Coturnix japonica: one gene and its partner. The protein of the gene in region 1 purifies or fractionates together with the protein of each later gene. This does not show direct contact. Links are inferred from orthologs where the notes say so. Each region holds a gene or a part of one and is shown on either strand. Other genes may lie near its edges. The genes, in order: SSH1 and YWHAE.

The links.
Region 2: the proteins of SSH1 (region 1) and YWHAE purify together in Homo sapiens (affinity purification with mass spectrometry; 3 studies listed by BioGRID and IntAct, with this or other methods). This does not show direct contact. The link is inferred for Coturnix japonica from reciprocal best matches to the Homo sapiens genes SSH1 and YWHAE.

What each region holds. Positions count from the first base shown.
Region 1 is NC_029530.1:5,726,094-5,742,556, reverse strand, and holds part of SSH1 (protein phosphatase Slingshot homolog 1), read left to right. Parts: intron 1-300; exon of another isoform or gene 301-974; intron 975-3,326; exon of another isoform or gene 3,327-4,302; coding exon of another isoform or gene 4,303-4,388; intron 4,389-5,225; exon of another isoform or gene 5,226-5,356; intron 5,357-6,750; coding exon 6,751-6,854; intron 6,855-8,213; coding exon 8,214-8,278; intron 8,279-8,856; coding exon 8,857-8,978; intron 8,979-10,495; coding exon 10,496-10,564; intron 10,565-10,954; coding exon 10,955-11,020; intron 11,021-12,275; coding exon 12,276-12,470; intron 12,471-12,710; coding exon 12,711-12,804; intron 12,805-13,774; coding exon 13,775-13,903; intron 13,904-14,721; coding exon 14,722-14,768; intron 14,769-15,636; coding exon 15,637-15,783; intron 15,784-16,458; coding exon 16,459-16,463. UniProt on the Homo sapiens protein: Protein phosphatase which regulates actin filament dynamics. Dephosphorylates and activates the actin binding/depolymerizing factor cofilin, which subsequently binds to actin filaments and stimulates their disassembly.
Region 2 is NC_029534.1:3,992,014-4,008,476, reverse strand, and holds part of YWHAE (14-3-3 protein epsilon), read right to left. Parts: intron 9,024-16,463; coding exon 8,824-9,023; intron 4,505-8,823; coding exon 4,398-4,504; intron 3,735-4,397; coding exon 3,528-3,734; intron 2,792-3,527; coding exon 2,655-2,791; intron 1,079-2,654; coding exon of another isoform or gene 1,071-1,078; exon of another isoform or gene 1,032-1,070; intron 1-1,031. UniProt on the Homo sapiens protein: Adapter protein implicated in the regulation of a large spectrum of both general and specialized signaling pathways. Binds to a large number of partners, usually by recognition of a phosphoserine or phosphothreonine motif.

The DNA of each region.
Region 1 (16,463 bases):
AGGCTTTTATTGATGCTTTGGTCTTTAACTTCTGCAGGGATTTCTGTGCATCTCAGCTGATGGCAGCACGCTGTGGATGGCTCTGAGTGGCCGTGCTTTGGTGTTGGGGGATATTCGGGGTAGGGGCAGCTGTGTGACAGTTGTTTGAGGGGAGGTCTTAGGGCAGAAGCTGCTGACTTTGTGCACTGTTCAAAACAGGATGCTGAATCACATCCTGGCCGGGCTGCAGCATCCTGCCCTGGCGTGCTCTGTACAATGGAGCAGTGAAGTGACGGGCTGGTGACCTGCTGGTGTTTCTGGCCTGAGGTGTGGCCTCGTGAGCCCGTGGGGATATCATTGGGCCTCACCATGTTGCAGTGGGGATATCAGGGCGAGCTGGGGAAGCTTGCACTCCTCTCCCACTTCTTCTTTGGGATTTGGCCTTTCCAGGACACTGCTGCAGGCTTGGTGCTGAGCAGCAGGATGAGTTTGCTTGGACAGCTGCTGGTTTGGAGATGCAGTGATTAGACCATTTAGGAATTATATATAAATCTTCTATTTTTTTTCCTTCTTCCTCCCCCCCAAACCTCAGCAGTTTGGCCAAAACCCTCTGGCCATGTTATCAAAGGAACCGACTGCATGCTGAACGCTTTTCTTTCCTGTAAAGGCCAGTGTGGTTACTGTTTACTTAGGCACCAAAGAGCCGGGTCAGGAAAATATTTTGGTTCCAAATGCCTCCTGATTTGTTAAATACTTTAATCTTTGATAATCAGCTGCCAAGATCTGCGAGATCAGGGATTTCTCATACAAATGGGGCCGTGGCCAACCTGACAAGTGCCCTTGGGAGGTTGTGGAGGATGTGAAATGGACAGGACACCTTCAGAGGCATGGCTTCACTTCCAGTGAAAAGCACAGAGGTTTTTATTCCATCAGCATTCACACGGTGCTCAGAGCTGTGATGTGGAAGCACTCTAAGGGCACGCTGAGAAAGCAAGGTAAGGCAGGCATAAGAGCAGCCTCAAATGAATGGCTCACAGCACAAAGCACATCCTCTGCACATCAGAGGGACCTCTGCAGAGCTTGCTTTGCCTCTCTGCCCCATGAAGAAGGCGGATGGAAGGGCTGAGGGCTCCACTCAGCCCCTGTGCACTCATCTTTCCCTGCGAAATCCACTCTGCTCACCCTTTTCTCTGGGGGTTCAATGGGTAAGGCAGCCTGCAGCAAACGCTAGAGGGGGTGCCTGTGTCAAGCTGGAACTTCTCCTACCCTTCTTTTACCCTGCGTGATGCTTCAGGATTTATTTTATTGTATTTTGACACGTTACCAGTGTGTCAAGTACTCCCTGGTCTCCGCTGCCTTTTTTGGAGTCATTCTGAAATGCAGCAGCGGAGCTGTTTTATGGGTTGCTGTGCCACTGCTGCTTCCCATGCTGCTGGCTGTGTCCTGGCTGACCTTCGCTCGCTCTGTTTGGGAGCTGTGTTCTCCAGCCATGGAACCATCCTTCACCTTCCTTTTCTTTTCCAGCAGTGTGGCTGGAGAGTTCCCACTTGTTCCTTGTGTCTGGGAAGCGCTGACAGTGGGTGAAGTGGGGTAACTTAATGACACAGCTCATTGTTTTCATCCCTTAAGCTGGAGGATGGGGCCATTTCTACCAGCTCAACTGGGGAATGGGATGGAGATCAGGGCAGGAGCTGCTCCTGGAGGGCTCATACCGTATCATAGAATGGCTTGGGTTGGAAGAAAGCCTCACTGCCCTCATAGAATCATATTGTAGAATGGCTTAGGTTGAAGGAGCTGTGGCTTTAGCATGGCAAGAAAGAGAAATGTTAGGAAAAAGAGCAGAAAGGAACGGGTAGGACAGCACAGGGCAAGGGAAGGGAGCCAGCATTTGGGGAATAAGCAGCTGCTGGATGGGCTGAGGTCTGTGGGGGGGGTTTGGCCCTCCAGCTGTTACAGCAGTGACCTCATTTTCCAGCGGGAATCTCAGAAATGCCCGCTGCCATTCAAAGTGTTCGCTCTGAGCATGTCCCATAGCTGGGGATGCAGCACTCAGTGCCTTCCCCATCTCTGCAATTAATGGGATGTGCAAAAAGGATCTGGTCTTTTTTACTTTTATTTTTGCCTTGTGAAACAATCTCTGTTTTATTTGGCCTTTCACCATCACGTACCAAGGATTCCTCGCATTTTCTCTCTCCAGGCCATTGGGAGCCGTTCTGCAAGCTTATTTTGCACGAGTCTCTGCTGAAATGGGGAGCTGCGTTTGCTTCCCTCTTCTTGCTTCTCTCTCAGACAAGGCTCCAGCTGTTACCTGGGTCTTGCTCCATGCCAGAATGGTGCTGGGATGGCGCTTGTCAGGGATAGCACAAAGCCATGGGATGAGAACGGAGCTGCCGAGTCCCCTCTTGTCCCCACTGTCCCCACAAAGCAGGGCTGAAGGCTGCATGGAGTGAGCAGGAGTGGCTGGAAGCAGTCTATTTATCTTAGGAAATCAGCTTTTGTGGGCTCCATGATTGATTTCATTTTTCTTTTTCCTCTTTGTGCTGGAGGAGAATTAGTATCTGGCGCTGTGAATGGCCTGCAGTGTCTCCAGCCCTTCTCAACATTCTTGTGCTGTGAATGTGGCCCACGCCTTCAGCCTAACAATGCGTGTTCAGACTCCTTGCATCTCCGCAGCCCTAAACACACCAGCCCTGCTGAGTCTTCTGCTCTCCTTACCATTCCTTGGATGGGGATGGATGGGGGATGCCCTGACTCCGTGGGGATGAGCTCAGGGCTCTGCTGTGGTTCACGGCTGATGTTTTTGATTCTGATGTTTTGGGTTTCTTCATGGTGTGGCTGCTGTTATTTTGGTGTGGCTGCTGAAGCCTGGAAGCAGCCCTTGTCCCCAGAGAGCTCCAGCTTAGCCCCAATGGACCGATGCCTTCCTCTGCCCTCATGCCATTTTTGTGTGTCATTCTGTTAACAAGAGAGAAATTAAGAGACTTAATTTGACAAACATTTAGTGACAGGAGAGCATGGCATGGCCCTGTGCCTAACAAGGCTCCATTGCAGAGCATTGCTGGAGCACAGCACCCTGCAGGGCACACAGTGTGGGTGCTGCTGAGGATGGAGGGTGACTGTAGACTGCTTGTTTGCCTTTGCAGACTCGGGGAATGGTGTTTTGAAATGATTATGAGGCGCTGCCTATTGTGTTCTGAAGCGACTTGAAATGTAATTGATGTGTGTTACAGCCACGTTCTTCTGGAGCTTTCCCAAAGGGGAAGAAATATTTCCTTTTAAAGCTGAGCAGCGTGGAGCCAGCGGACAGAGCAAGGAGGTGCTGTAGTCAAGAGCCATCTTCTCCTTGCAGAACTGCAGGCACAGCAGGGCCTCTGTTTTAAGGCCAGCAAAGAAATGCAGCTGTTCTATCAGCACCCTCCTACTGACACTCAGTTCTCCCAGGTGCCTGTAAGTTTAGGTTTTAGCCCTCTTAAGGGGCTAATGTGCTCCCACTGAGATCATTTGGTAAGGGGATGCACTGCAGCCCTCTTAGAGCTCCCAGATCCCATGCTACAGCAAAACCACTATGCTCAGTGTTTCTTTGAGAGCCCAAAGGAGCTGCTGGAAAGCAGTGATGCAGGTTAGGATTACTGGGAGGGCATCCAGCAAATTGGAGGGTTATGCTGTGTGCTCCAATGGGGCAGGACAAAAAGGGAACAAAAAGCTGCTTCTTCCTCTGGGGGGGACTGGTGCTGCTGTGGTGAAGGAATTAATCAAGGGTTGGTAAGAAATCAGTCTTCATTGAATTTGGTTATAGGGAGTCCCTAACAGAGGAATTCCAAACCACCCGAAAGAAGTTCTTGTTCAGCAGCGCATCAGCACATGGCTGCACCATAAGCTGGGAAGTATCCTGATCTGACCACGATGCCTTTGCCACGTAGACATTCCATTACAGGGCTTTAACTGTAAAAACCAGCAGGGCACTGAGCAATGTGGGATGTAAGCATCAACGAGATGCTTTTCACTTCATCCTGCCCTGCATCGCTCTGTGAGCATGGGGAGGAAACAAACAGCTCGCACCAGTCTGTAGGAGGGAAGTGATTAGACGAGCTTCAGCTGTTTTTTTCCCCTCTTGAATGGCCTTCTTTCATCAGGATATGTTAGGACAAGTGCTTTTTCAAGCCAGGATATCAGTGGAAGACACAGTGTTCTGTAGAAGTCATCCAGTTCCTGGGTAGCATCAACAGATGCGATTGCTCGGCGCAGAATATACGACCGACCTTTTCTTTTTCTTTCTTTTTGTGTGGGTTTAGAAGCAAAAGGATGTGAGTTTTACAGCTAGTTATGAATCTTTTCGAATTTACTGACTTCTGCCTGACTCTTGGGCCAGCACAATGCTTCTGCTGTTCAAAGAAAACCAGTCCAAATTAGTATGTATAAACCACTCGTATTTATGCCACTAACAAACGCTGCTTGCTAAGGCTGGTGCTGGGGAGGGAGCTGGGGGGGCTCTGTAATGATGGGGTTCTTCTTTTGTACTTTGGGAGGTTTCTTTTGTTTTTAAAGCTGGAATTCGGGTGTTTACTGGGACTGCAGGGTTTCAGAGCATCAGAACGCTGGGTTTTATTGCGTCACGCTTTTTTCTCACTTTTATTTTGTTAGCTATTAGGGGATTTGTATGGAGTGGCTGAGGGCAAAGTGTTCTCGGAGCAGAGTTAAGGGTCAGCATTGGGTAACCTCACCATTTTGCTGCGGTGTCCCGGGAGAACTCATAGTGGTTGTTGTGCAGCACTGTGCTGGTGGCATCCAACAGCAGCTGGGGAGCATGAGCTGACTTAGTGCTGTGCTTTGCGCACATGGAGACGCAAGCATTTAAGCAAGAACACTTTAAACTAGTAAACTAGACCAGAAATCTTGCTCTCAGTCACTTCTTCAGATTTGCTTTTCAGTTCATTGCCGTGCAGATAAATACCCGGTGGCAAAACGTGTGCTGTACTGGTCAACCTCTGCCTGCAGACACTTCTGCTCCCCCAGCACAGCTCTCCAACTGGGAACATTCTGTCTTATTGTGAAGGTTTCCTGCCCGCAGTGAATGAGAGCGTTAGGAGCTGTGTGTTATCTAACCATTCCTTTCCTCTTGCTGATAAACCAGCTGGGTATGCACGAGGCTGCTCTCTAGTGAACATCCTATACATTGTGTTGGTGTTGCGGCTTTGATGTCACTTCTGTCCTTTTTTTTTAACGCTTTCCTGTTAGATCTGGAGTGAGAAGGAAACAGGGCTCTTCCTGCCTTGCTTATGGGATGGACCAAGAACCTGCCTGCAGGGATTCTTGCTGTCGGTGGGTGCTGGTGGTGAGGGCTGCGGGGCCATCGCTGACAGCTCCCGGTGAGCCAGGGGTGAGTGCTGCAGGAGCAGTAATGGGGAAAGCTTTGTGCAATTGTCCTGCCAATAGCTTGTTGGTCTGAGATAGGGCTGAGGGAGCCTGGAACTTGTGCTATGATTTTTAGGTTGCTTTTTAGGAGGGACTGAAGTCTCAAATTTAAACCTGTTCCAGCTTTTCTGGGAGCTTTGAAGAACGTTGTGCATTCAGGCAGCTAACTGCAAACTTTGGCTCTGTCCTTGGAAGAAGGAAGACCCAACTTGGAGCAAGAGCTGGGAAGGCTTGAATTGATGACTTTTTACCACACTGCTGGTGCTCAGTGCTAGACAGAGGCAAAGACACCAGAGACATAGCACAGAACAGATGAGCACTGGGAGCTGCAGCTCCTGTGGGACCATTTGCTGTAGCATAAGTAACTCCAGCGCAGCACAGCCTCATCGTGGAGCTTTTATATTTAGTTGATAGCAGCCAGTAATGAACAGTTGTGTATGTTGGGAAGTGTGGGATGGCAGAAAGTCGGGCTCTGTAGCAAGGAATGTCTCCTTGCCTGACGTTTGGAGTGGGGTAGGAAGTGCAAGGTAAGCAGTTACTGTGGCAGATAAAACTTAGCTTAGGAGATGTTCATTTCCAGCCCTGTGGGAAACACCAACTTTACCACTTATGTCCAGGTCTGTTTGTGAAGTTCTCGCAGTGCATTACAGGACTGTGTAAGTAGGCTTGTGCTGCTCCTTGCTCTAACTGCTGGTTTTGATTGGCCTTCTCGTTAGCCGTGTTTCATTTGATCATGAATGCAGCTTTGTGTGTGTGTGTGTTTGTGCTATGCCCTCTCTTCCTATCAGCACTGTTTCCCAGGTCAGTTGTATCTCAACAGAGCAGAGAAATGCCTTTGCTGCTGGGTCTGTTGCTTTTTGCCCTGAAGTTTCAGTTCATTCTGTGCAGGTTTCACCTTCCCTCCCTGCCCTGTATGTCTGTGATTTATAGCCCCACGTTCTTGTTTCTGCATTCCAAAGGAATCTCAAGAACTGAAATTAATAGGGATTGATTGACTCGAGACCTGATCCGAAGTCGTTTACAGGTCTAAGCCTGTAGGAATTCTTACCCACTACTGTTTTTAAGTTACAGAATTTGATAATCAAGTGATAAAGTCGTTTCAGTCCGTGACAGCTCAGGCAAGCATCTCCTGCTATGGCCAAGCAAGAAAATGTTGGTGGAAAATGACACCATTCTTTGTGAATAATCCTGGAGCCATGCCTTGCAAGTGGCAGAATCAACCTTTGGGAGCAGCTTCTTGTGGCAGATCCTGCTGTGTTTTAACAAAGAGAAGCCCTTCCTTCCCCAGGCACACCGACTGGAGCACACGTTTTGCTGCTGTTTCCTTTGAGCTGACTTCCTGTGTCCTTTGTTTTCCAGCCTAAGCGAGAGTTTTTTCATGGTGAAAGGAGCAGCCCTCTTCTTGCAACAAGGAAACAGCTCCCAGGGCCAGCGAAGTCTCCAGCATCCTCACAAACATGCAGGTATGGATTAAAGCACGGCCTGATGCTCTGTTCACTCTTCCATCCCCTCTCCCCTCTTCCACACTGACAGCCCAATAGCAGGTGTGGGTGGTGGATGGCTCCTCTGACTGTTAACAGTGGGTTTTGTACAACCTGCTGTGGAAAACCAGGTTTTCAATCCACGTGTTTTGAATATGAACATTTGGTGACTGTGTCTTTGTTTAAACTTTTGCCATCCTCTTGGAAATGTATCTGGAGCAGGAATTTATTCTTTACAGACACTGTGGCATTCTGTAGCCAGCAAAGCCCTCTGAGCCAGAGTCTGTGCCGAACCCTGTCTTCTGCAGCCTGCAATGAAGAAATGTCACTTATTTCTGCTTCAGTGGTTTGATCTTTGCCTTCTCCTCTGGCCTGTGGGGAGGAAAATGCAATGGGTTGAGTCATGAGGCTCCAGCACCCCTTCTGTGGTTACCGAGCTCCTGATTCAGTGCATCAGGGACGTTTCTCCTAAGTGCTCTCCCAGCCTCCCACAGTCTGACTCCATATGACAGCATCTTTCTTTTTATTATCATTATTTTTAAACCACCTGTTGTTAGTTTTGTTCAATGCTACTTCTCAAAAGTAAGGAACACTTTTATTAGGATTTGAGGCCCTTTCTTAGCTCCTTCCACCCCCTTTTCTGCTTTCAGGAAATCCCCTTTTCAGTTAACTGATCTAAATCTGGCCTGCAGACATTTCTCATGGTTTGAGAACATCTTGTCCTTTCTCCTGGCGCACTCCAGTGTTCCAAGATGGTGGGAGGAGAGCTGTGTGGTGAATGTCTGTAAGGGCTGATAAGCCGACGGGGTTTAAGGAAGTTGGATCCCACTCATCCTGTATTTTTATGCCTTCTGTCGTTGATGGTTTGGTAATAAGTGGTTAAGGGGCAAGAAGAAATAAGCTCATCAGGGCATTTTGAGTGCAGAAGCATGTGGGAAAGGCACAGTGTGGTACTGTGTGCCTGCTGCTTAGTAAACACTCCAAGCACAAAGAGGCTGTTTGAATGCCAAGCGTGGCTTTGGGTTTCTTCAATTGTCAGCAATTTCATATACCCAGCAAACATCCTACGGAAGGAATTTTATCTTTTATGGAAAGTTATGAGTGTGTTACCAAGTTATTAGATGTGAATTTGGATTGTTTTCTTGTAGATTCTTTGTTCCTTTTGCTCACTTTCACCGAGCAGAAATATATCCACCACTTTGGAGCAGTTGTATGAGCAGACCTTTAGTTGATGCAGAAGGGATGCATCACCTGAATAGAGCCACTCCTGCAGCCCTTTCTCCTCACAAGCTGCTGATGTTCAAGTCACCTGTTCTGATCATTTCTCTGCTCTCACTGCAGGTGATTTGCCCCAGCACCTCCAGGTGATGATCAACCTCCTTCGCTGCGAGGATAGAATCAAACTGGTAAGAACAAGTGCATTTTCCTGCCTTTCTTTCTGTTGGAGGTGTTTGAAGCAGATCTGTACAGGGTCACAGAAAGCATCGGCAAATCCGTGGTTGGCTTCAATCTGCTGCACTTGGTTGCCAGCCCCACCATGCTTCCCTGTGTGTTCCTTTGGGACTGATCCTTACATCCAGGATATGAGTTGGGTCTGTGTTAATTACCTCCCTCTAGAATGGCAAGACAGAATGTTTCAGTGAAGGCTTGTCTGTGTGGAAGAACCCTCTGGGCTTCTCCAGCTTAGTGCACAGTGAGTGCTTCTACCCACTTTTGAGTTAAACATCTTTAGAAGAAATCTCCAGGTTGGGTTTGTTAATGCTTCAACAATGTAGGACAGATCATCCAGGCTGCTCTTATTTCTAATCTCCTGATTCCAAGTCAAACTGGCAACTGGCCTTGCTTGGAACTACCTCTTTCCTTATCTTTCATTCTGCAGCTAAATAAAGCTCTGAGGCACAATTACACCTGTAAAATATTAATCAGCAATGGAAGTAAAGATTATCCAAAAGCAGTTCTGCAGAGCTTGATGTCTTTTTCCTAGGCTGTCCGTTTGGAAAGTGTGTGGACAGACAGAGTCCGGTACATGGTGGTTGTGTACAGCAACGGGCGGCAGGACACAGAAGAGAATATTTTGCTGGGTGTGGACTTTTCCAGCAAGGAGAGGTACGTCTAAGGCAAAACTAGGCTTGGAAATCAGGCAGGCTGGGTTCTCTGGAAAGCTTGTCAACAGCCGTCCCCAAGCAGTTAATTTTTACGTACTCTAGCAAAAGAAGAGACATAGCTGTTAATTCTTCTGACTGTTGTGAGAGCGCTTTTTGTCTCAGAGAACTTTCAGTCTCCTTAGAATCTTTAGGCTCTCTATGCAGCTGTGGGCAAAGCATTCACTTGGAATCCATCTGGAGGACTGTGGTATCTACCTCATCTGTGGTAGCTTGCTGTCTCCTCACTACAAAATGCTTCTGTGGAAACGTTTCCTAAACTGGAATTTATTTGCTCCATCAGACTTCAAGTCTGTTCGTGGTGTGATGCAATGGAGCTGTTTCAGGTAGGTTAGCTGCCAAATAGGATCAACAACAACAGTGCAGAAGTACCTCCAAAACCAACAAACAAATGTGTTAGTAATGAGCTGTTCCTTTTGTCTGACTGATAAGAGCCCAGAATGTTTTGAAATGAAAATAAAACGTTGCTGCAGACCTTCTCACATAATTCCAGTTATAGGTGAGGAAACCAAGAACAGCTCTGAGCTGGAAGAGGTGAGGCTGCTTTGGCAGAGCTGGAGTTAGAAGGCAGAGCTTCCTGACTTGTTTCTGTTCCCTGGTAGATTGAGCACACTGCCATGCTGAGCTGATATGGCCAATGGGACTTTGTGTTTTTGTCTGGAAAATGTCTGTGGATTGAAGTGGGAAGGGAGAGCTTTTGCACTGCAGTGAGACCTGTTAGTGAACTCCTAGCAGTGCCTTCCTAAGGAGACTGTTGACTTGGCTTTGGTGCTGCTTCTGTGTCTGCTCTTAATTACCACTGTTGGTGTTAGGGAGGAAATTCCAGCATTAAATTCCCTTCTGGCATATTTGGTGTGCAGCAGCAGGGAGCGTTGGCATTGTCCTCTCCAAATCCATGGTGACCTTCTAGTAATTTGCCCCTGGAGGTGATTGTTGTGAGATGAGAGGAGAGATGGAAAAGTAACAGCACATCCATCCTAACTGCAAGATCCGCTGCTGGTTCATTCAGTTGCCTCTGAAAACCGAGGGATTTGTTAATTAAGGAAAAGCGTCACACATAAAGAAATCTGTTGGCATTAATGACTCATCGAGGGACTCCAAGGCTCCATGTTGGGGCTGAAATGGCACTTCTCAGCTGTGTGCTGGCTGCTGGCAGTTGGGCTGGTCAGGCTTTTGTGGGCTTTATTCCTTGTACGTGTTTTTAATAAGAAACTTTTTTCCTCTCAGAGTTTTAGGGCGTACGTTGTCTACGTGTGCGTTCAAACTGGCTTTTGTCAGAGCCTTTGATTCACTTTAGTTGCCCATTTCCTTATGTGCTACACATTAAATAGCTGAAGATATTATGAGCAATTACTAAAGCAAGGCTAGTGGACTTTAAAAATTAAAGACTATTAATAATTGAGGATATTGGCATGACTGCATTGTGGCCTATATTTAACATCCTTAACGTTTCTCTTCCAGTAAAAGCTGCACTATAGGAATGGTTCTTCGTCTGTGGAGTGATACTAAGATCCATCTTGATGGCGATGGGTAAGAAACCCCATTGAAAGGATAGACATGAACGGCCTTCCCTTCTGGGGGTTGCTGTGGGATAGAGACTCTCACCATACAATTGAAGTCCCGGTTTCAGATTCGTGGCTGCAGTCCTTTAACTCAGACACTGAGTTTTTCTTTTGCTGCCCTCAGAACGCTCAGTAGAACCTGTCGTATCCAGTAAGTGTTTACCAAAATCCTGCTCCAGGGGTGGAGCTCCCATTCCTGGCGCTGTATGGCAGGTGTCCACTAGTTGCTTTTGTTAGGGAAGATAATGGAAAATTGGTGATGGAAATTCTCATCCCTTATTCCTTTAGATTATCTCTGAGAAGCAGCCTGAGGTGCAGAGAAGAGCAGTTTGTGACTGTTTTTTCCCCTCTCTCTTAGTGGCTTCAGTGTGAGCACTGCTGGGAGAATGCACATCTTCAAGCCAGTGTCGGTACAAGCCATGTGGTATGTGTGCCAATTAGCTTTACTGAGAAAGAGGCTGTAATTTCTGTGAATGAATTAACAACAAACAAACTGCGTTTTAGCATTTTCCATAACTGGTATTTATCAAGCTGCAGCTGAGATGCTGCTTCCCTCTATCAGCTGGTAGTAATGCTATAAAGGGGCTCTGGGAGCACTGATCCAAAACCAGCGTCTTCTGCTGCAGCTGTGTGCTCTGTGACATGAGAGCAATGGGAAATGGCACTAATGAGACGTACAGACCTGAAAGCCCAACGTGAATTCATCAGGCTGCAAACCCAGCCTTTCCTCTCCACGCATAACCTCCCTGGCATGAGGGAGTCTTGTGACCCATTGCCAATCTGATGGCATTTCCAACTCTGCCCCATTCCTGGGGCCAGGCTGGGGCTGCTTCTGCATGGAAACTTTCCGTGTCACTCTGCAATCATGCTTACCTTTCAGCTCCTGTCACCCCTCCCATATGCAGGGATTCCAAAATGCTGAAGCAGAGACTGTTGAATCAGCAGCAGCTGTGCCAGCAAATGCCTTCTTGAAGAGGCTTTATTTGCCCCAAACAGGACAAATGCCTCTCGTTGGGTACTTTGTGGAGCCTCAAAACTCCTGTGCTTGTGATAGCTGGTAGGGACAAGATAAAGGGGTAGAGAATGGTGATGTGTTAGGGATGGTTTGGTACAGAAACAAACAAAACTTGTTCCTGTCATTTTTTGAACTCGACCCCTCCTGTTGGCAGCCTTAGATGTGGTTAATATGTTCACTACAACGACATCTTCAGAGCAGAGCATTAAAAGAAATAAATAGAAAGGAAAAATGGAGGAGGGAAGGGAGGAAAGAAAAAGTAATGCTAAGTTTTACAAAAACAAATGACCCAATCTGGGCCCTGTCCCTGGAGCGTGTCAGGGGCCAAGAATGCTGTAAATATGTATTTGACTCCTTGCTGAAGGTGGTTTGAAAATTGTCCATGTTCTTTATTTTCCTTTGGTCTGGCTTTACAAGTTAGCTAATGATTAGGTCCCACAGTGACTGTGCCTCATGCTTGCCAGTTGATGAGGAGAAAATCTGAGCCTCCGTCTCAGATGGGCTCTTGAGAAAGCCTCCAAGATGCCCCATGAACTCTGATGCAATAAAGCTGCAGCTCTCAAAAAAGCAAACTGCAACACAGTGATAGAAGTCTTCTATGAAAATCTCTTAATCCTGGTTTATGTGTGCTTATGCCTGTACAATTTTGTTCCCAATCTTGCAGGTCTGCTCTACAAATCCTCCATAAAGCCTGTGAAGTTGCAAGAAGGTACAACTACTTCCCAGGTGGGATGGCCTTGGTCTGGGCTACGTACTATGAAAGCTGCATCAGCTCTGACCAGAGCTGCATCAATGAGTGGAATGCCATGCAGGACCTGGAGTCCACCCGCCCTGACTCTCCAGCTCTGTTTGTTGACAAGTCAGTTCTCAGTTTTATTATGAAAAGTCAACTTGGTTCACAAGAGAAATCCCCTTTTGTTCCTCTGGCAGTTAATTTCCTTTCTCTACTTAAATGCCTTCTAATGTTTTTCTTCCATTTTCCTGGTCAAGATGCTTTCAATGCAAGTCCTTCCCACCAGCCCTCTGTGCTGTCCAAGTTGCATTGTCTCAGGAGTGTTTACTGCTGGTTTGGAGACATCCTTTCCCTTTTCCTTTTCAGGCCGACTGAAAGGGAACGAACAGAACGCCTGATTAAAGCCAAACTCCGGAGCATCATGATGTGCAAAGACCTGGAAAATGTGACTTCGAAGGAGGTAAATAGAAAAAACTCCTGCTCTTTTATTCTTCCTGCTTTTCCTTTTCCAGAGGATATTATACTGACAGAGAGACATTGTATAATGAGGTGCCCTTGGCTTTTGAATGTATTTCCAACTGATCCTCAAAGGTTCTGCTCTTTGGCTTTGCTACACCTCTGTTTCTCTATTTGTAAAAGAGAGTCATACCAATATTAGAGCACAGTTTTCAAGACCTTAGTAACAAGCCAGAGCGGTGTCGGAGGTGATACTTCATTACAACTGGCAGCACTTGTGGGCATGTCCAAGCAGTGAATTTGGAACCACTTATTCCTCACAATCACACAAGCAAAGATAGCTCTCTCAAAAGATGCAGTTACTGGCTGTGTGTCCTCCCAGCTGTGACTATGCCCCGCTGTTTTAGAGAAGCATCCTGGTCTTCACTTGTTCATGGACACAGAGCAAACTGTGTGCTAAGTAGCAGCGTTTTCCTTTCTCCTCATTGGCTTTACTTCAAGGTTTTGTTTTCTTTATTTCTGAACAATGTCAGAGAGGCTTACAGGTGAGACCTTGCTGGTGCGCCTATGGATGAAGAGTCACAAGTCAAGGCTAAGACTAGTTTGAATCTGTCCCACAGGGACACAGTGCAGATGTACTTGGAGCAGATGGTAATAGTTCTATGTAGGTTTGGGTTTTGAGTTTCATGTTTGTTAGTTGCTCTCCTGGGTCTTGTTCATCTCAAGTTATTTTTTGGAAGGAGGTGCATGATATATGTGTGTTTTACTTGGATGCTATCTGAAGCCTTCTTCACAGATCTCAGATATGGGGGGTCTAAGATGCCACGTAGTGAGATTCTTTGCCTCCAAAAGGCTGAATCCCTCCTGCTGTCTTTAATGAAGTACATAAAAAGTGTTTTGTGAAAGAGTGCCAATAAATGTTTCTATTGAACAGAGATGATTCTAGGTGGCATCCTTTGTTTTCTGCTCTGCAGATCCGGAATGAGCTGGAAAAACACATGAATTGCAACTTGAAAGAATTCAAGGAATTCATAGACAATGAAATGCTGCTTATCCTGGGTCAGATGGACAAACCCTCTCTGATTTTTGATCACTTGTATCTGGTAAGTTGCCCTTTTAGGAGCTCCAGCAGAGCTGAAGGCTCAGTGGGAGCGACCTTATGGGTCACTGGGGGATCTGCATTTGGTATCAAGTTCTGTGTGCGTGGCCAAAGCTGTATGAGGAGTAAGACTGAAGGTCCTGTGCCCTTCAACTTTATGTTGAAGCAAAGATGTGTGTTCTATGTAATGTTTTGCCACTAGATGGAACTCCAAGCAAAACCAGATGCTGCCATCTGGAACAAAGACTTGCTTGAGATGAACACATTTGTGCCTTTTATGCTGGGGTCACTTTTAGGTGTTTTGTTATTTTTCCTGGAGAGAGTCAGACAAACTGCTGATGTCTGAGGGCAAAACTGGCTTTTAAAACCCTATTTAACTTTCTGTTTTGTGGATACAGTGAGATCCGATGTAATCACCTCCAGAACTTCCAGGATTTGCCTCACACTTCTCATATACGTAATTGTGATCCCAGTTATGTCACACATCGTTATTTTTCTTTCCCTGCACTATTTATCTATGTGGTTAGAAACCCAGAATGGCCAGGGAGTGGTGATTTGGGGTTGAATATACCCCTGACTCCTGCATCTTACAGGATTTCTTCCTGCACAGACCCCACGTCATTTTGTCCCCAGTTCTTCTGATTTCAGAGGGGCTGTGAACATTCCTTGTACCTAAATTTGAGGCTGTTAGGACAAGCCTGGTCTGGCTGCAGCATTTAAGTTGGCAGCTGAGGAGTAGTGCTGAGAATGGGGGCAGTTCAGTGTCTTAAGAAATGGAGAAGCTCCTTTGAAAGATGGTTTTTATCTATGTGACTGTTGCAGGGGTCAGAATGGAACGCCTCTAACCTGGAGGAGCTGCAGGGCTCGGGGTGAGTACTGCGCCTTCCAGCCTCTGAGTCATTTGACTTTTACACTGAGGTCTCTTGAGATGCCATGTGGCATTTGTAGATGGTAGGGATGAGTTCCCAGCAATGTGGGTAACTGATCATCAGGACTTTGATCAGGAAAACTTTCCTACCTCGTTTCCATCACATATGAAGTAGAAATAACGAAACTTCAAGATCTCCCAGTGTGTAGCAACCAAGTATGAAGCAGGCATACATGCTGTTGTGTCAGGTGTAAATTCCTGCAGGCTGCAGAAGAGCAAATGTTACAGTGCAGAGTTCAGGAAAAACTCCATCTAAATGGAGCAGAACTTCCTGTGGATGAGCAATCCCCACCTCACCTGCCCAGACAGGCAGCTGCAGGGCTGTCTTTCACTACACTGTCATCACCACGCCACTTCTTGGCTTGATTTATTTTTAGGCTTTTTGGATGAGTGATACATATAATATTTGCAGTTTTCCCAAGGCATACATCGCCTCTGATGTGAGAAACTGCAAATTATTGCTCAACAGCATGACTAAAAATGTTTAATTTGGAATCCTTGGGAACAGATGTCTGAACATCTTTGAGCAAGTGGATCAACCAGCATGTCAATGCTTCTGGTCTATGGTGAGGGCGTCTTGACATGCAGTGCCTAGAAGTCAAAGCTGGGCAAACTCTGAAACAAATACCTGCAGCCTTGATTTATCTAAATGATATGAAGTAGTAAATCAATGCGGGCCTTCATTCTCCCTACGTATGTTGTAAACCCTGCTGTAGTGTTTGGCAGGAATCAGGAGATTCACAATGTGCATCACTTTCCTTTTTGTGACCGTGGCAGTTCAGCTCCATTTTTCTTTTCATTCTCCACAGCATTGACTACATTTTGAACGTGACCAGGGAAATAGATAATTTTTTCCCTGGCTTGTTTGCCTATCACAATATCCGGGTGTATGACGAGGAGACGACTGACCTCCTGGCTCACTGGAACGAGGCATATCATTTCATAAACAAGGCCAAGTAAGTGGGCTGGGGGACGTGGCTCGATATGAGAGTGCATCCAAGCAGAGTGCATCCAATCCAAGCCACAGGAGAAGCTGTCTGAGGTCTGGGGGAGGTGACACTGCCTCCATGTGCTCCAGCCAGCTCTGCAGCTGGAGGTGGCAGCTGGGCTTTGTGTTACATCTTCTGCCAGGAGTTCTGTGTCCCTAGAGCTTCCGTGTACTTTGTGTCTTCCTGTGCCGGTTTTAACCCATTTCTAACCTACGGCTTTTTAAATTACTATTATTTTGTTTTGCTTCTAAAAGGAAACGAGGACATTTCCTCTACTTGAGTTGTTCTGGAAATATTCCAACACGTGTCCTTGTTGGATGAGCCTAAGAGATGGTGGCAGAGCCCATCACACCCTGCTGGCTGTCACATGCAGGTGGTGCCTGCTTATCCTTGTGCCCAAAGCATTGGGCAAGTGGGTGGGAGGCTTCATGGCAGCCTTTGGAGTGACAGCATGGCTGAGGCTGACCTTTCTGGAGACGGGTTCTTCTCATAGGCATCTTAGTCTAAAACATTTGTGACCTACAGAGCTGTGGTATTAGAGCAGTCAGCAGGACAAAGTACTGCCCCTCCACCATTTAAGACATTAACAACATATATGATAAGCACAAAGATTAGAGAGGTGTTTTCCTGATCTTTCTGCAGGAAGA
Region 2 (16,463 bases), on another chromosome or scaffold:
CTGCAGTCCAGTTTACAGTACTGCACTGATGGCACGTCAATGCCCTTCCCTGCTGCAAAACCCAATGTGACAAGAAATCCTGGGCTTGAGTTTATCAAGAATGCTTTATGAAAACACAGCTGGTTTGGACCCATCCAACCAGGCTGCAACATGCAGTGCAATGGAAGCCCATCCAGAAGGGCTCAGGCAGGAGGTTTCTGTTGTACTGCAGCTGCCCCAGGGGAGGTGCATGCAATGTGATCTGCAAAGCTCTGCTATAACAGGGAGAGGTTACCACACTGCAGATAGGGCCCCACTACAGGCACCGTTCAGCCAACAGACAGGAAGCTGAACAAATGCTTTCTTCACAATTATCCCCAGCCAAGTGACACAGCACTGCCCTAAAGGCACGTAAACAAGAACCGTCCAAAACCTAATATGATTTGCAACTAAATGCACTCAGATGAGAGATGACTTTCAGTACGTTATCAGACCACCTGCTCAGAGCACATCCAGATTCAGCATTACCACCAGGCAGGTTCTGGAAGAGGTGGCTTCATGCTCCAGCAGGGGGTTGGACCAAATGATCTTCTGAGGTTCCTTCCAGTCCCTGACACTCTGTCAATGGAGGCTACATGGTGTCCAACAACATCGTAATTTACATAGAGAACTACAGAAACAGGCTGTTTAACTGAAGAATGCCAAGGCCCTACCCAAAGAAGATGATTAGAAGATCTGAGCATGCTCTTGCCAATGCACTTAAGCAGATAGTCCTGTCACAGGCAATAGTGGAAGTACTTTTCATGCCTAAATAGTCTTAATATTCCACCCAGGAATGCAGCTCAAATTCCCAAACTCTGGGGTTATGCTGGAACTCAGTTACATGTATCAGACCTGAGCAACAGGTCAGAGATCAGAACATGGCTTAGCCCTGGAATGAGCCCAAGATACAAGCAGTTTGTCAGCAGCAAAACAGTGACAGAGGCAAGCATGATTAGTGGTCAGAGGAAAACTGACGCTGCAAAGCTCAGTGAGCCACAGAGAGGACTTACAAAGTAGACTTTTTAGGAAAAGAACAGTTGGACTTTCCTTTAGGAATCTATACGGCAGGAAAGAAGGGGAGAATAGGAATCATATGAAGATGACATCAGGAGCATTGAAGTAAACTAAACAGCTTGTTTGTGGCACGGTTCAGACTGGTACATGAGGTGAAAAGGTGCAGCTGCTGAGTAACACTCCATTCCAGAACTCAAAGGCTCTGGCCCATTTGGGGACACTGAGTTCTGGATGTAACTGCTTCAAACGCACTCAGTGCACCTACTGAATGCCATAAGGACAGCACAGCTTTGCACCTACGTGTGCACTCATCACTCAAACATTGTATTCTTTTAAGTTTTAAGCAGTTCTGCAGTGTTTGCAGCTCTGCAATCACTGTCCTGCTGGAATGCATCATGAACAGTAACGATGCTGCTCTTAAATGCTTCAGGAACAACAAAATCACTGGTTTTCTACACTGCAGAGCTAATGATGATATGGGAAATGTGGATGGGGATTATGTGAAAAAGGCACGTAAAGAAACTCTGCAAACAGTCTCATTAAATGTCTGTGGTAGGCAATGAGATGTCAGGCAGCTCACGTGCAAATAAAGGCTGCTTCTGGAAGATGTTCCAATGCTGCTACCTCACATCAGCCATCCAGCCTTGTTAGCTGTGCTGAAGCTTCCAAATGCAACCACAGCAAGGGAGGCACCTCGTAGCACTGCAGTGTCAGAGCAGTGTCCACACTAAGCCACCCACACATAAGCCCAAAGAAATGGGGGTAACGTTTTAACTGTAGCATCCACATGGTATCAAGTAAGAAGTCTGCAATGCTACAGCTGCTTTCTGAGGGGACACAGTACTGGGAAAAGAAGCCCTCTGACAGCCCCCATGGTGTAAGTTATATCTTCAATAAGCATCCTACAGCTTTTATTAAGTATCTGAAGTCAAGCTGGAATGTTTCAGACCTCTGAGTATCTAAGTGTGTAATACACTTCAAACAGGACTCACGTTCTTCTTTTACCTTAAGAGAAGGAACAGCTTTAAAAGCTTCATTCTAAAACAATTATTATTATTTTTTAAAACAAAAAAGCACAAGTTCTCCCTTTCTGGATAAAGCTGAGTTTAAACTGCCAGTATGTGAGACAAGGCAAACAAAGTAATTTACACCTGGCACTTAGACCAAAGTCTAAGAGGAAACAGCCTCCTTAAAACACCAAATAACCGTCAGATGTTGGTAAGCAGCACTCCCTGCCCGTGCTGGGGACACAAACAGCATCTGCTCTGGCCATGCCCCCTGTGGAGGCAGGAGCTGAACATCTGCTGGGAGCACTTCAAGAAGGAAAAGCTTTTCAAACATCCAAATATCAGAAGTGACCTGAGAGGAGGGTATCAGACCACTCACAATACTGCCTCCTGAACTGGAAATTCACATCTGGTTCAAAGGGGAACTGGAAGACCAACAGGCTAATTAAGCCACTGCTTTTTACAGTGTTAATAATCTCACACCTTCAAGTGTGAAACTGAAGAAGTTTCCTTGTTGGTGTTTTTACTGCTGCCATTCATGAGCTAAATATTTCTGAATGTGTTCTGGGCAGGAATGAGGAGACGCAGCAGTTCAGAGCTGAGCTCACTTACCATCACCCTGCATGTCTGAAGTCCATAGTGTCAGGTTATCACGTAACAACTGCATGATAAGTGTAGAGTCCTTATAGCTTTCTTCACTCAGCGTATCCAGTTCTGCAATAGCATCATCAAAAGCTGCTTTCGCCAACCTGTAAGCACAGAATAAAACCCATTTAGCGTAAACTAGGAAAGGGAATTCAGAAGCCTACACAAACCTATTACTCAGAGCACCCATCTTCTAGTTGGCGGTATGACAACACAGCCTCTATCAATCTTTTTTCTTCCAAACTGACTGCTTTGTGTGCCTAACAACAGTACTGACTCAATCTGTGTCTCCTTCAACATTACTACACCCTGCAGCTCTGCTGTTTGCTAAAAGCTTTAAGAAAGCACTCACCTAACCTGCAGTGATAGGACTGAAACGCACCATTTGCCTTGTTCCTTGTTTTTATGCCCACACAAACTAAATCCCTGAAGACAGATGAGATCACAGTTCTGAAGATGTCACTCATTTCTGTGCCCATGACCTCTCACACGTTGTATAAGACTTGTGTAAGAGCCAACAGCAAGAGGCGAGCTCAGTTACCTCACACTTCTTGCAGGACACGGACATGCACAGAGTTAACATGCAAGCTGTCAGGCTGCCATTGGTTCACTGACTCAAAGTTAATGCTATTCTGCTTCTCCAGTAATCTACTTTCAGATAAACAAATGCATGCGGGCTGAAAAGGAAAAGCTGAAAGCTATTAACATGACTTAACCTCAATCAAAGACAAAAGAAGAAGCCAACCCAGTATTTCTGAGTTAAAAGACATCACACCCAACTGGGGATCACACTCAGCTTGTTGAGCATGCACAGAAAATCCCCCCCATCTTCTCAGTTACCTGCAGGCACGATCAGGAGAATTAAGAATTTCATAGTAGAATACAGAGAAGTTAAGAGCTAGACCTAGGCGGATAGGATGTGTTGGTGGGAGTTCTGTCATTGCAATATCACTAGCAGCCTTGTAAGCCACCAAGCTGTTCTCTGCAGCCTCCTTCCTGTCATTTCCTGTGGCAAACTCAGCCAGATACCTATGGTAGTCCCCCTTCCTGAAAGCAAAAGCAGAACAAGAAGTTAGTCCTTACTTCCACACTCAGCCACAAAAACTGCTTACTTCCAAAACTTATTTTATACATTTACACATTAAGGGATGTTACTGCTGAATTACTGTCCAGACAACAGTGCTTCAGTACCTCAGAGAGTTTCAAATCACCAAGCAGGGAAAGGTTTGCATTAAATTTCTGTTGCTCTGGTACAGAAATCACAGTATTGGCTTCCCCATTACCCACCTATGCAGCTGTACAAGTACCTCATCTAATAGTAAATTTTTTTGCAGGTTTAAAAATAACCCACAATATACTTCAAATAGATGGGATCATTTACAGATAAAGATCACTTCAAGACTGTATGGTCACAGTTCATACATGTAAATATCAAAGCAGAGATGAGATCCTTGTATTATCTCAAAGAATGAACAACAGCTCCTGAGAAGCTCCGACCATCTCATTCTGAACTGGCCTCGAGCTCCTGTCTGCCACCAACAGCCCAAGTGCAGACAATGGGATATTCACTGCACACATTGAGCTGCCCTCCTCTAGGGAGAAATTACTGGCCTTCACCACGCAGAAAAAAACAACCATTTATAGTTACTGTATTCTTGTTATCTATTCCAGCTACAACATGAAGTCCTCACCTCACATGGCAACACTTACATTTTGTAATAGAAAACCTTGGACTCGCCAGTGTTAGCTGCTGGAATGAGGTGTTTGTCCAGTACATCCAGAATGTCACAACAGATTAACTTCAGTTCAGTCTCAACCTAAAAAGAAAAATAACCACAATGAGGCAAGGTCAGCACTGAGACTTAAAGGCTGCTCCAAAAATAATATCAAACAGGTGACAAAAAAATCCAAGGAGGGGGAAGATGAGAAAAAACAGAATAAAAAGATTCAGCTGTCCACAGGTACATTAAACAATAACAGCACAGGGCAATCAGCTGGGACACGGAGGCGAGAACTGATGGATGATGAAACGCATAACCTAATAATGGAATCCCAAATTCCCTGGAAAACATCTTGCTGGACAGTTGCATTACGTCTGTCTCAGCAGTAATTCCTTACTGCAAGACTTGCACAACCAGTGCCTCACATGTTTGAGCCCAGAAGGCTGTCCTAAAGTGGTCATGGTGAAGGGGAACAATTTGAATGCAATTAAGAGAGGTAGGCTCAACTCCCTCTCACCCTTGGGGTTAAGCTATACGTTCACAACAGGTTTTCACTGCTCACTTGGGACACAGAGAACCCTACAACACAAATCCTGCAACAACAGATCAAAAAACATCACAGACAGAAGGAAAAAGTCCAGAAAAAATACAAACTTCAGAAGCAGGCAATAAAATAAGCAAAGCACAGCAGAAACCATTAACAGCAAGGTCAGCAACAAAGGAAAGCCGGTATATAGTCTTATATGAGACTTTAATGGCCACAGTTGGAAATGGTCACATCACTTTTCCTTCCTGATTTAGAACATAAAACAAAGGTTATAAGGTTGGTTTCTACCATAGGAAATGTCACACCTGAAAGCAAAGAAGTGAAGCACCTTCAAGAGAAACCACCTAAAAACTGTCTTTGCACATCAGCATTGCCCACAACAGATTTGTTCCAAGCACTCCTCATTACTCACAGTAGGAGGGGTTGGCAAAGTACACGGCAACCCACTGCTGCTCTCACAATTTAGCATTAACTTACATAGCAACAGCTAGAGACAAATGCAGCTCAAACCACTGTTAGGTTCCATAGAGCAGAGGTTTTCAAGGGAAGGCATCAACATCAGCTTCAATGAACCAGGAGCTGCACATCTCACATCACAGGGCAGCCCCACCAGCTCGCTGCCCTTCTCACCCCTCCACCCATGCAGTTTCCTTTCACATAAGGATGCTCTTACTGTGCCAAATCACTACAAAGCTCCAAACCATCGCTGTCTGTACCCACACCCAGCATCAAGAGCTGTAATGCTGCAGATCTAAAGGAAGTTAAACTGGCACATTCCAAATTGCACCAAGTTACTGAACAGACATGGAAAAGCTCCTTCAGGTAAATTCATCTATGGTAAATGTCATATGTAAACAATGTTGGGATGCCCTAACATTCAAGTGGGGAGTTAAATGCTATATTAATGCTTAAGGAAGTTGCTGAAATATGGTCACTTGAAGTATCTACTTCATATATTCTTGTGCTACTAAAGCTATAAAACCTTTGCCAGCAGTCAGTTCCTGCAAACTTCTTTCCTCTTGATCCTCTTTCTCAATGACTTCTTTTGCAGAGATCTTCAGCAAAACTGCAAAGAATTAAATCAGTTTCTAATCTTCTTTTGTTAAACCATACATGTACAAACTTCCATTTCATCTCAGATCTTTTTCAGCTGTGTTTCAAGGATCACTCACACGAGTTACCAGAGATCAGCTGCTGATAAGGGTGATGTACATACCCTGATCAGGCTTTAAAACTTAGAAGCTTTCATACAAACTGAGTTAAGAACAAAACACTAAGAGAACTATGCCCCCCAGCCCCCCCTCATAAAATATGAGCCATATGAGAAGGCTCATCCCAGTACGTGTGCAGCCACAATCCACTGTGCCTCTGTTTTAGTAGCAGTGCTGGATTAAGCAGATTTGATTGTGTTCTCAGCTCTGCAGGTACAAAGCCCTTTAACCACCTAGTGATTTTAACAAAGAAACTGACTGGAAGCCACCAGGTGGTCGGGGCCCGCACTAATTCCTTGCCCCAATTCAGTATTTAGCCCACAGAAGAGCTGTGCCTCCTAACTGGGATGCAACATGAAACCAATGCAATCGGCAGCAGCTGCTGAAGCCTGTGAGCTGCCTTCCTCCTTGTGCCCCTGAAAAATGAAGAGGGCATCAACACAGCCTGATGTGATGCATGAAGAGGTGAAGGTGGCCTGGCAGCTTCCCACAAGCTCAGCTTGTTAAGCACAAGCACTAGAAACACATGTAAATACAGACCTTAAGGGGAAGGTGAATACTTGTCCTATGCTATTAGCGAAGGGATTTGCTCTTAGAGCAAGGACGTGAGCTGCATCATCTGCAAATGAACACGGCTTCATCCGCTCAAGGGCAAGCTGAGAAAGCCTGTGTTCTCATGCACAGAGATGTAATGGAGCCACGAGCTCCACTTCTGCACATCCATCCACATGGCCACACATCCAAAAAAATGCAGGAATCACACAGGCAGCATTTTTTCCGCACGGCTACGATGTGCTCTGCTTCATCCGCCTTAACATCTCACACCATCAGCCCTTGAGATCTTCCCCAAGTAATACTGGCAAGAACTTAAAAGTCTGCGGAGTTTGAACACAACCAAAGTGTTAAACTGGAACAAATACCAATACAGACAAAAAAACATCCATCACTTGCCCATAAGCTACATCTTTTATTTCAGCTCACGCAGCAATTTCTAGCTGTGCAAACCCACCGCTGGTTCTGGTGACAGGGGAAGATTTCTCCACTGACAACGCTTCTCTCCACTCCCCAGGACCTTAAACATGGCCTGTCCCTGAAAAAGCACTTTTTTTCCCCCTCTCCTTCCTCAGAGTCTCACAAGCATGGGAAGGATCTCTTAACAAGATTCAGCTCAAAATCAGGAATGCAGCAACAGCGTGTATTTGTTGACATGGCAGGCAGTAAGCAAAATAACCCCAACTCTCCAGACCTTATCTGCTCCCCCAAGCACTGAGTATGACAGCAGGGCAGTTCTGCAGCTCTCATGTCAGCAGCAAAAGAGAAGCTGGACCCAAACCTTTGTGTATGTTCTTTAGGCCCTCAGTGCTCAAATTCTGCCTTAACAATCCAATTAATGCTCTCCACATATAAAACAGTCTTCCAGTAGCTACAAACAAGACTCGGTCTTCAGCTACAGCCAACAGCACGAGCCTCTTGGAGCACTCAGGCCAGGCAGGCAGACACATCTACTCTTTCTTCACCATGGAAATGCACTCCTGTGCTCCCCACAGCATTCTTCCACTTAAAGCTCACAGCACCCAAAGGACCTGTGATGGCTCTTCCCTTGAAGAATTTAACACATGGAAGTACTGTTGTATAGCAGTGCATTCTACATGGCCTGTACATTTATCTCAATACACTACTCTGAGGAGTGTATGTGTGTATAGTTCTTGCTCACCAGTCCATTCTGCACAGCATTTTCTTGCTTTAAAAAGAGATGCAGAACAGTGTTTCTTCATTGTCTCTGGAAGGACTATAAAAAGTCTTTTCACTATTAAAGGATCCCTGGAAAAGATAGTAACTGCCTACAAAATGTTAAGCAAAAAAACCCCAAAGCATGAGGTTTAAGACAAATGATACTGTCTTAATTTATATGCTCTGCTTGGAAGATTTTAGATACCCATCAAGAAATGGTATTTGGGACTGTATGTAACTGGCAGAGCTGCACCCCATCAGCACGCCAGCATAAAATTAGAAACTCAGAACTTGAACAATTCCACAGAGCAAACAAAATGCTATGAGTCAAAAGAGAACAGTCCAGAGCCATTCTTCAGAAAGGAGTCCCAAGCCAACATCGTTCCCATTGGCAGCATATGAATCAGTGCCAGGTAGTTAAAAGAGACACTCCACTGTTTCTGTGAGAGTGAAGATGGGAAACGTGGAGGCACTTATCCTGCAGTGATGGATCTGAAGTCTCTGCAGAAATGCGTAGGACTTCAATTCTACATGAGAGTGTCTGCTCCACATTAAACCATCACTTAAGGAGGCCAGGGTTGGGGGGGCAGGGAACAGCTCACTGTTCTAATAGCCAACAGTTTCATTAGCCCTCACTGATGAAAGGCTCAGCTCACTCCAAGTTCTCCATTTTAGGTAAAGCTGCACAGGCTGACTAGACTCACCATTCAGTTATTTCCATCTATTCTTCCCCCCTTTCTGAAGGGAGAAAATAGCAAGGCCCTACAGCTCATTATACATCTAAGTTTCACAGTTGAGACGTCCAGAATATCTTAATATTCCCTGTTCCTACAAACACAAGAGTGCTTAAACTTAATGGTAACAAACCCAGAGTCCAGATCTTCTTAGCTAAATGGCACTACACTACAGCACCAACTACATCTTACCATTTGCCGATATTCCCGAATCATTTTTAATTTATCTTCTCCTCCTTTGTTTTCTTCTTTCTGTTCAATGCTGCTGATTATTCTCCAGGAAGCTCTTCTGGCTCCAATCACGTTTTTATATGCAACAGAAAGCAGGTTTCTTTCTTCCACTGTCAACTCCACATCCATTCCAGCCACTTTCTTCATTGATTCAACCATTTCTAGGAAGAAAAGGTCACGCAGTTATTCTCAGTATTAAAGCATCTTTCAAACCATTCACGAGAAGCAGCGCATTAATGATAACTTGTCAAAATAGGCTCCCTCCTCCTTTCATCCAGTTACACCTTGCTTTTATAGAGGAATGCTCCAAACAAGTCAGCGAGCACATACACAAAGAACTACCTGATGCTCTTTCAAATGCATTTGACAAGGGTACCCAAAACATTCCTTCAAGACAGTTTGAGACACAAACAAAACCAGCTTAGCAGAAGGATTCCATAGAAGCAAAGCAGAAAGAACACTGTCGTTATGGAAGCAAGTTGAAGTTCCACGAGGAAACCACCAGAAGAAAAATCAACTGCTTGGAGAAGTGACAGGAGAGTCCTCCTGAGGATAAGCAGAGCAGCACCACCCAGCCATGCCAAGCAACTATTTGCACTGGAAAAATAACACAGTAAATGTAATTTGTATTTATAGATTAAACCGTTTAGAAAAGACTCCCAAACCTCAGGTGAAAAAAAAAAAATGATTACTAAATACAGCTTTTCTACGTCCCAGTGAAAGTAAAAACCTAAATTACTTAAAGGTTTTAATCCTTTCATTACCTCATCACATTATGATTTCCTATGACCTAACAGAAACATAAAGGCTGAAATTATTACATATCTGCTGAGAGAGCTTAGTCTGAGATACCCGGAAGCCCTACGTTACCTCCTGCTAACAAGTGCTTCACTCATTCAACCTTTACCTTTCAGCTTCTAGAGCAGATGAGAACCCCACAGACAGGAAAGCCATTAACGAGCAAGACTGAGCCCCCTGCAGCCCCTAACCCTATCTACCTCACATCCTCATCCTCCCCTACCCCCAAACCTTCACATGTTCTGCTGCATAATGGCAGTAAGAAAGAAGATGCAAGTGAATCTGAATTGTCTTTCCCTTCCCCCATCAGGTGCCCAAACTCATCACCTTCACAGGAAAGAAGCCATTTCAGTAATAGAACTACAGCCTCAATTTTCTCCCTTGCAGGAATGGTGTTATCAGTCTCCAGCAGGTTGCCACATATGCAGGACAATTTAATAGCAGCTCTGTTCTCATCAGGAGTAAAAAACAGCCCTACCTCTACCAGTACATTCTGCTGCTCCAGCTCATGAAGTAACAATAAGTGATACTTGGGTAAGTGTTTTCCACACCCTACAATTTAAAATGAACTCTTTTTGATGAAGATTTCAGAAAGTCATCCTAAACTGCTCTTTAAATATACTTAGTGTAAGTACACAGTCTCATAATTTAAACTAACCTAAAAGCAGTGCTATATAGTTACAGCAAACAACTTGAACAGTGCATGCTCTAGGATTTCTTTCCTAAAGGGTGACCCATCCATCTATTCAAATCATCTCAAAACTTTGATCTTTTTTTCCTTAAATCATGAGTTATGTTCTCAGATTTTCATGTTACTTATGCAGCATTCAAGTACATTCAAGGCAGTCTGCCTGCCACAGTGTTTGCTCTTGTGAAGGACGACCAACACGAATGAAGACTCGCAGTCCCAGCTAGTTGGATATCTGTGCCAAGCTCCAGCAAGAACCATAAGGCTTGTATTTTAGCTTAATGTTTAACTGCCCTCAGATAAGAAAAGTAATTGAAACTGTGCCACAGCTTCAGCGATGAACCCGTAGCTGTGACTGCACAGCCCTCCTTTCACTCCTTGAAATGAAAGGAGTCATATGAGTTCATGAGCAGAAGAAATACCCCCTAGAAAGTAATGCAGATAACAGGGGAGGTGGTGATGCTGTGCTCATCTTTCATGCTCATTTCCAGGCATCCACCATCACTCTGAAGATCTTTGAATGTGACCGCCACCCTTCACCCAAACTTGTACTGTCTAAACCTTTGTATCTCTTTATACATCAGTGTGACATACGTAGATAATTAACTGCTCCAGGAGCACAGAGGTGAAAAACACGTACAGCAAGTTTATTGGCTCCTACATCATTGAAAAAGGAGCAGGAAATCACACCTGTACATTCACCAACTGGAAAAAAAACCAGCCTTATTCTAGACTAAGAAATATTCTATACAAAGACACACACCCACAAGCAGAACAAGTATTTGATATTCTAGGTGCAGCTTCAGCTGTCTGGAAGATCCTACGCAGAGATGAAAAGCTTGGAGACGATTCACGACAAAGTACAAGTCTGAGATTACATCTCAGTAAGAAGGATTATGGCAGCAATGATAACCCACTGCACACCTCAGCTGAAGATGTTAACGCTGCATTACAGAAGCAGCAGCATCACATGGATTCAAAAAGAGCTCGTCATTAAGTGGTTAAGTTCCAGCCTTGTGGCTGTCACCTTATTAAGCCACTGCCACATCATGCCACAATCAGAGCAGGAAATCCCCAGAGTATGAATTGAGAAGATAGGAGAATATTCTGGATATCTATTGACTTCAATCCTTCCCCAGGCCTCTGCCATGGGCTGTTTTTGAGAAGTATTTTAACAAATGAACATTTCTGACTGAGCAGGTAATACCATTTATGTATTTTATGGGGGGGGGGGGGGAAAGCATTTCAGTGAGACACAACACTGCCTACGCTTCCACAACAGTCCAACAAAACCTATTAGTTATCTGTCCCTACAGCTGAACACTGCCAGGATGATGGCTGGCTCCTGCTGGTGCTGCTGTGGAAGACACACAGGGACACAACCACAGCCTGAGCAGCACAAAGGAATAGCCGGGCTGCCATACTAAGGGCTACTACCTCCAAGGGGGATGTGCCTCGGGGCTAGGCCTTCTGTTTTAAAGAGGAAGAAGATTACTACAGCTTTAAGTCCCCAAATACAGAGTTTGGAGCGCCTGTAAATCACGATGAAGCTTTCTAAAGCCCTTAAGCATAACTATAGGTTTTTCCACCTTTTCCAAAAGGTAGAGGAACAGCCAAAACTAAACTTATAAATGCTCAGGGTGTATCCATGTCTTTAAAAATAGATATATCGAGTCAAAGGAACTGATCTAAAACACAGTTCCTTGAAAGCACCACAGGGGAAAAAAGAACAATACAATGCAGTACTGTAGTTCTATGGGTGGACTGCAATCCATCACGAAGCAGAGAAGCATCCAGAACAGACAAGGCTTGTGCAAGAAATGGAGCCATTTGCTTTAAATGCTAATGGACCCATACAAAGCCACAAAGTTAATTTACTGTGCGCTAAAAAGTAATGGGGGAAGTTTATAAGTGTTGAGAAGCACAGCACTGATAGCCATCTATTAGGGCACAAGTGATGAGGAAACAGAGAACAAAAGAACAAAAGAATGAATGCCTCTTTATCAGGGGGAAAAAAAGACACTCAAGGTATTTTCTGTTCCTCAATCTCCCAAAGACTGAACAATCCAGGATCTGGAGCATCCCTCTGTAAGGAAGAGCAGCAGCCAACACACTACACGTTTTGTAGAAGAATTACAAAGCTTTTCCAAAACAGAAACCAACATTTAACAGCAGATTAGGAAGGAGAATCACTGCATATCAACCAACACCAGAACCGACCTGACAGCTTTATCATCAGACTGAAAATGGAAGTCTAGGTCAGTGATTTATAGAAGTGACAACAAAAACCACTCGGCATTTGCCAAGGCACCTCATCGGAGGATCTTTAAGGATTTCTACTGCTATCAGGTACAGATCAGATCCTCTCTTGAATGGAGACCTGGATGAAAGAGAGCTAATGGGGTACGAATGTAGGCTCAGTGTTCAAAGCAGAGTAAGGTCACCAGTGGAACCACACGGTGATCAGTGCTAGGAAGCATGTTAGCATTTGTAAGCGATACAGAATAAAAGAGTATTCAATACTAATTTAGTAGTCACAGCAAATTGCTAAGAGCAATAAAGACCAAAGAGAGCAGGAGAAATAATGGCACACGTTTTCTCTATTAAGTGATGTGTAACCATGAGAACTACAGCCCATAGATTCCATTCTCTCCAGACGTGCAGCCCTCTGATCCATGTGATACCAGCAGGCACCATCCTATTCACTGCAATGATCAGCCCCGAATCCAAGCCAAAAGAAACCAAGGTCTTAAATGTTGGTGCACCCCAGACAGTTCTAATGTTTGATTGTATGACTGAACTACACAGTTCTACAGAGCATAATCCCATATTAATGCTCTTGAAGAAATAGATGATCGAGACCAAATAATTCAACTAACAGTTGCATTTTCTGCACAATCAACCTACCAACACGATTTCTAAGTCATTTCTATATCTTCAAGTTAGGAAGATGTATCTTCCTAAAAGACAGAGGACTCCTACTAACAGAAGAGTCAGATTGAAAGCAGAGGCAAACAAGGACTGAGTCTCATCATACATTTCAGTTTGACTGAGATCTGCTACTTAAGAGTCTCCTAATACAAGAACTTGAGTAAGTTAATGGACACTAACCCAGTACGTGGGCTTCCTGCAGGGCACTGAGCCATCTAAGGTTGGATGCTCAACACTTCTGGTATCTCAGACGTTTCAAGAGGCAAATTATCAAAGGTCCTCACACAGCTCTGCTGGGCAGAGGGGAATTACACCCCTCAGATGCATTTATATTATTTACTTGAAAGAGGACCACTGCAAACTGAAAATTATGAGCAACTTAATCATTCATCTATCTCATAAGTGAGAATTTGATTCTTCAGCAAGCTGTAATTGCAAGTCCTGCTACTGTGAGCCAACTCATTCTACAATATGTTCAGATTTTGGATTCAGTGCACACCTTGTTGCCTTCAGAGGGAAGGTTTGCTTCTCTGGCAATGAGTTAATAGCAACACAGGAGTTACATGTTGACTTGCTGTACTGGGAATCAGGAGAGCTGTCAATTATCTTCTTCCCAGCTGTAAACAGAGCTATTATCCTCACCTGCTACACCCTGGGTAAACTTCAAATGATGTATTTCAAGATCTGTGGCACAAATCTGTTGGCAGGACTGAAGCACCCACAGGATTCACTCGGAGCTTACCTTCTATCCTAGCATGCTTCTCTACTGATGAGAAGAAAGGTGCTACCTAGCTTCTGCAACAGAGAGTTAGTTTTGACATTCAGCAGTCCATGAGAACGCAGATACATACAATCTTTTGATGTGAGAAAGTAAAGAGTTAGTGATTTCATAAACCAACGCAATTTTATCAACTCCAGTTGTTTCCCAGAAAAGACATTTTATATATATTACGCAATTGGGAACCATCTTTGAAGGAACTCAAAGGGTTTTCACTCAGGGTGGTGACGCACTGGAACAGGTTGCCCGAGGAGGCTGTGGATGCCCCATCCCTGCAGGCATTCAAGGCCAGGCTGGATGTGGCTCTGGGCAGTGGCGACCCTGTACATAGCAGGGGGGGTTGAAACCAGATGATCATTGTGGTCCTTTTCAACCCAGGCCATTCTGTGGTTCTATCAAGTGCAGGTAAATGTGATTTTTTTTTTCCTCAAGTACGATTTGTCACAAAGCTTTCTCTAATACAAGTAGGCTGCCCGGCATTTTGTGATCTGTCATGACACGCCTGGGTAGATCCGTAAAGACAGACACCCAAATCTCTTACTATCTCTAGGGATCACAGCTTTAAGCATTATTTACACTGCAGAGGCACCTAAGAAAGTTGTCCTCTTAATCTGGGCCGATACACCAAGGGCTGTACAGAGACAGAACTACATTCCCAACAACTGGCAGGCACAGCCTGCAAGGCTTCAGAACTTAAGTGGGTCATGTAACTAAAAAAAACCCAAAAAACTTATTAGATTCCTACCTTAGAAGCTGCCTCAAATGCCATGGACCATGGCTGTTCTAACCACACAGCACGCTGAGCCTCACTGAGAAAGATGTGGCAGAACGTAACGCTATCCTAACATTAAACATCAAAAATTGTCATTTTACATTCATATTCAAGTCACAGAACAGGTTTCTATTCCAGCACATTTGTAGCCAGTACTTACCATCAGTAGTATCTGGAAGTTATTCACTATTACCTCACCATCATGTATCTCAAAGGTAAAACTAAAGAATGAAACTAAGCATCACTTCACTTCCCCACAGCATTTCATTCACATTGAGCAGCCTCAGCACTTACTTTCATGTAAATGAGAATATACTCTTCACTTTTTAATTGCTTCCAACTGAACGATACAGAATTAGATGCTAAACCTGTACCTACAGTATTTATTTTTCCAGGCCAGGGACAGAAAAAAAGGCGGAAAGCTATAGAACAACATGGAGAGTTAAGGGATGCACCTTAAATTTGTTGATTCAACTCCATGCCAACAAATTCTGCAAGTCTGAATCCCACAATATTGCTTTAAAGATAAGAACACTATGATTATCATTACCTCCTCAGTGAGGGTGTTCTTATTAACACTCAGAAGCCACACAGAAGCCCTCTGAATTCTGACCTAGGCAATTCATTCTTCAAACACCCACTGGAGCATTGGGATTGGAAGCCCACTGACTGCCTTTGTGTGGCATTTCTATCTCTATCAACCTTTTTTGATAAGGAAATCAGGCTGTGCTGCAGATTTCTACAATAAGGGAAGGTCTGATTGCTTTCCAAAGAAGTGACTTCCCATTCAGCTAGGAAAGCATCAGTTATACCTCAAAAGGATGATGTATCCCCCAAACATCCTTAGCCTGGAGTTCCATTCAAACCACAGCTCACCCCTGCGCTGAGGCTCATCTGTACCAGGTGAACAAACCCTCCCCCACACACACCCCAATACTGCTGGATTTGTGGTCTTTGTGGAAGATGGCAGCAATGAGAACAATGCACCTTCCCATCCCACACTCCTAAGGAGACAAAAAAACCAAGATACCCCAAATCTACACCCCCCTCCTCAACCACTTGTACCCACAGATGTTGCTCTCCTACTATGAGCTGCATCTTACTTGAAGGGGTGGGCACAAGTCACCCCACAAAACCTGCTTTGGGGGACGTTTTTTCCCCCAAGTCCCTGCAGTTACAACAAGGAGACTATCTGGCTGCTGTCACTCAGTACGATTCTTATTCCTACCCCATTTCTACCAGAACATTCACTGCAGATGGTCTTAATTACTCCTTCATTTCTGTTTTCCTCCCCCAAAAGGTGTATTTCTCAGCTTTGGAATCCCATTATCAGAAGTTTTCTAAGCAGTAACTCAGAGAACAAAGCCTAATTCTCACCAGCTGACTTCCCTGCTCTGTGAAAACCCTGATCAATTAAAGGACCCAAAGCATCTCCCCACTTCTAAATGAAACCTAACTGTACTCCCACCCTTTACACACACACCGGCTTTTCTTCCACTTGAAATACAGATCTAAGGGCAGAAATAACAACCCCATTGAGAAAATTAAAGGCCCTTTCTTCTATAGGCAAGAAAAGCACCTTGAAGGGAACAGTCACACGGCAGACATTTTGGGGGCAAGAAATACCATCCAGG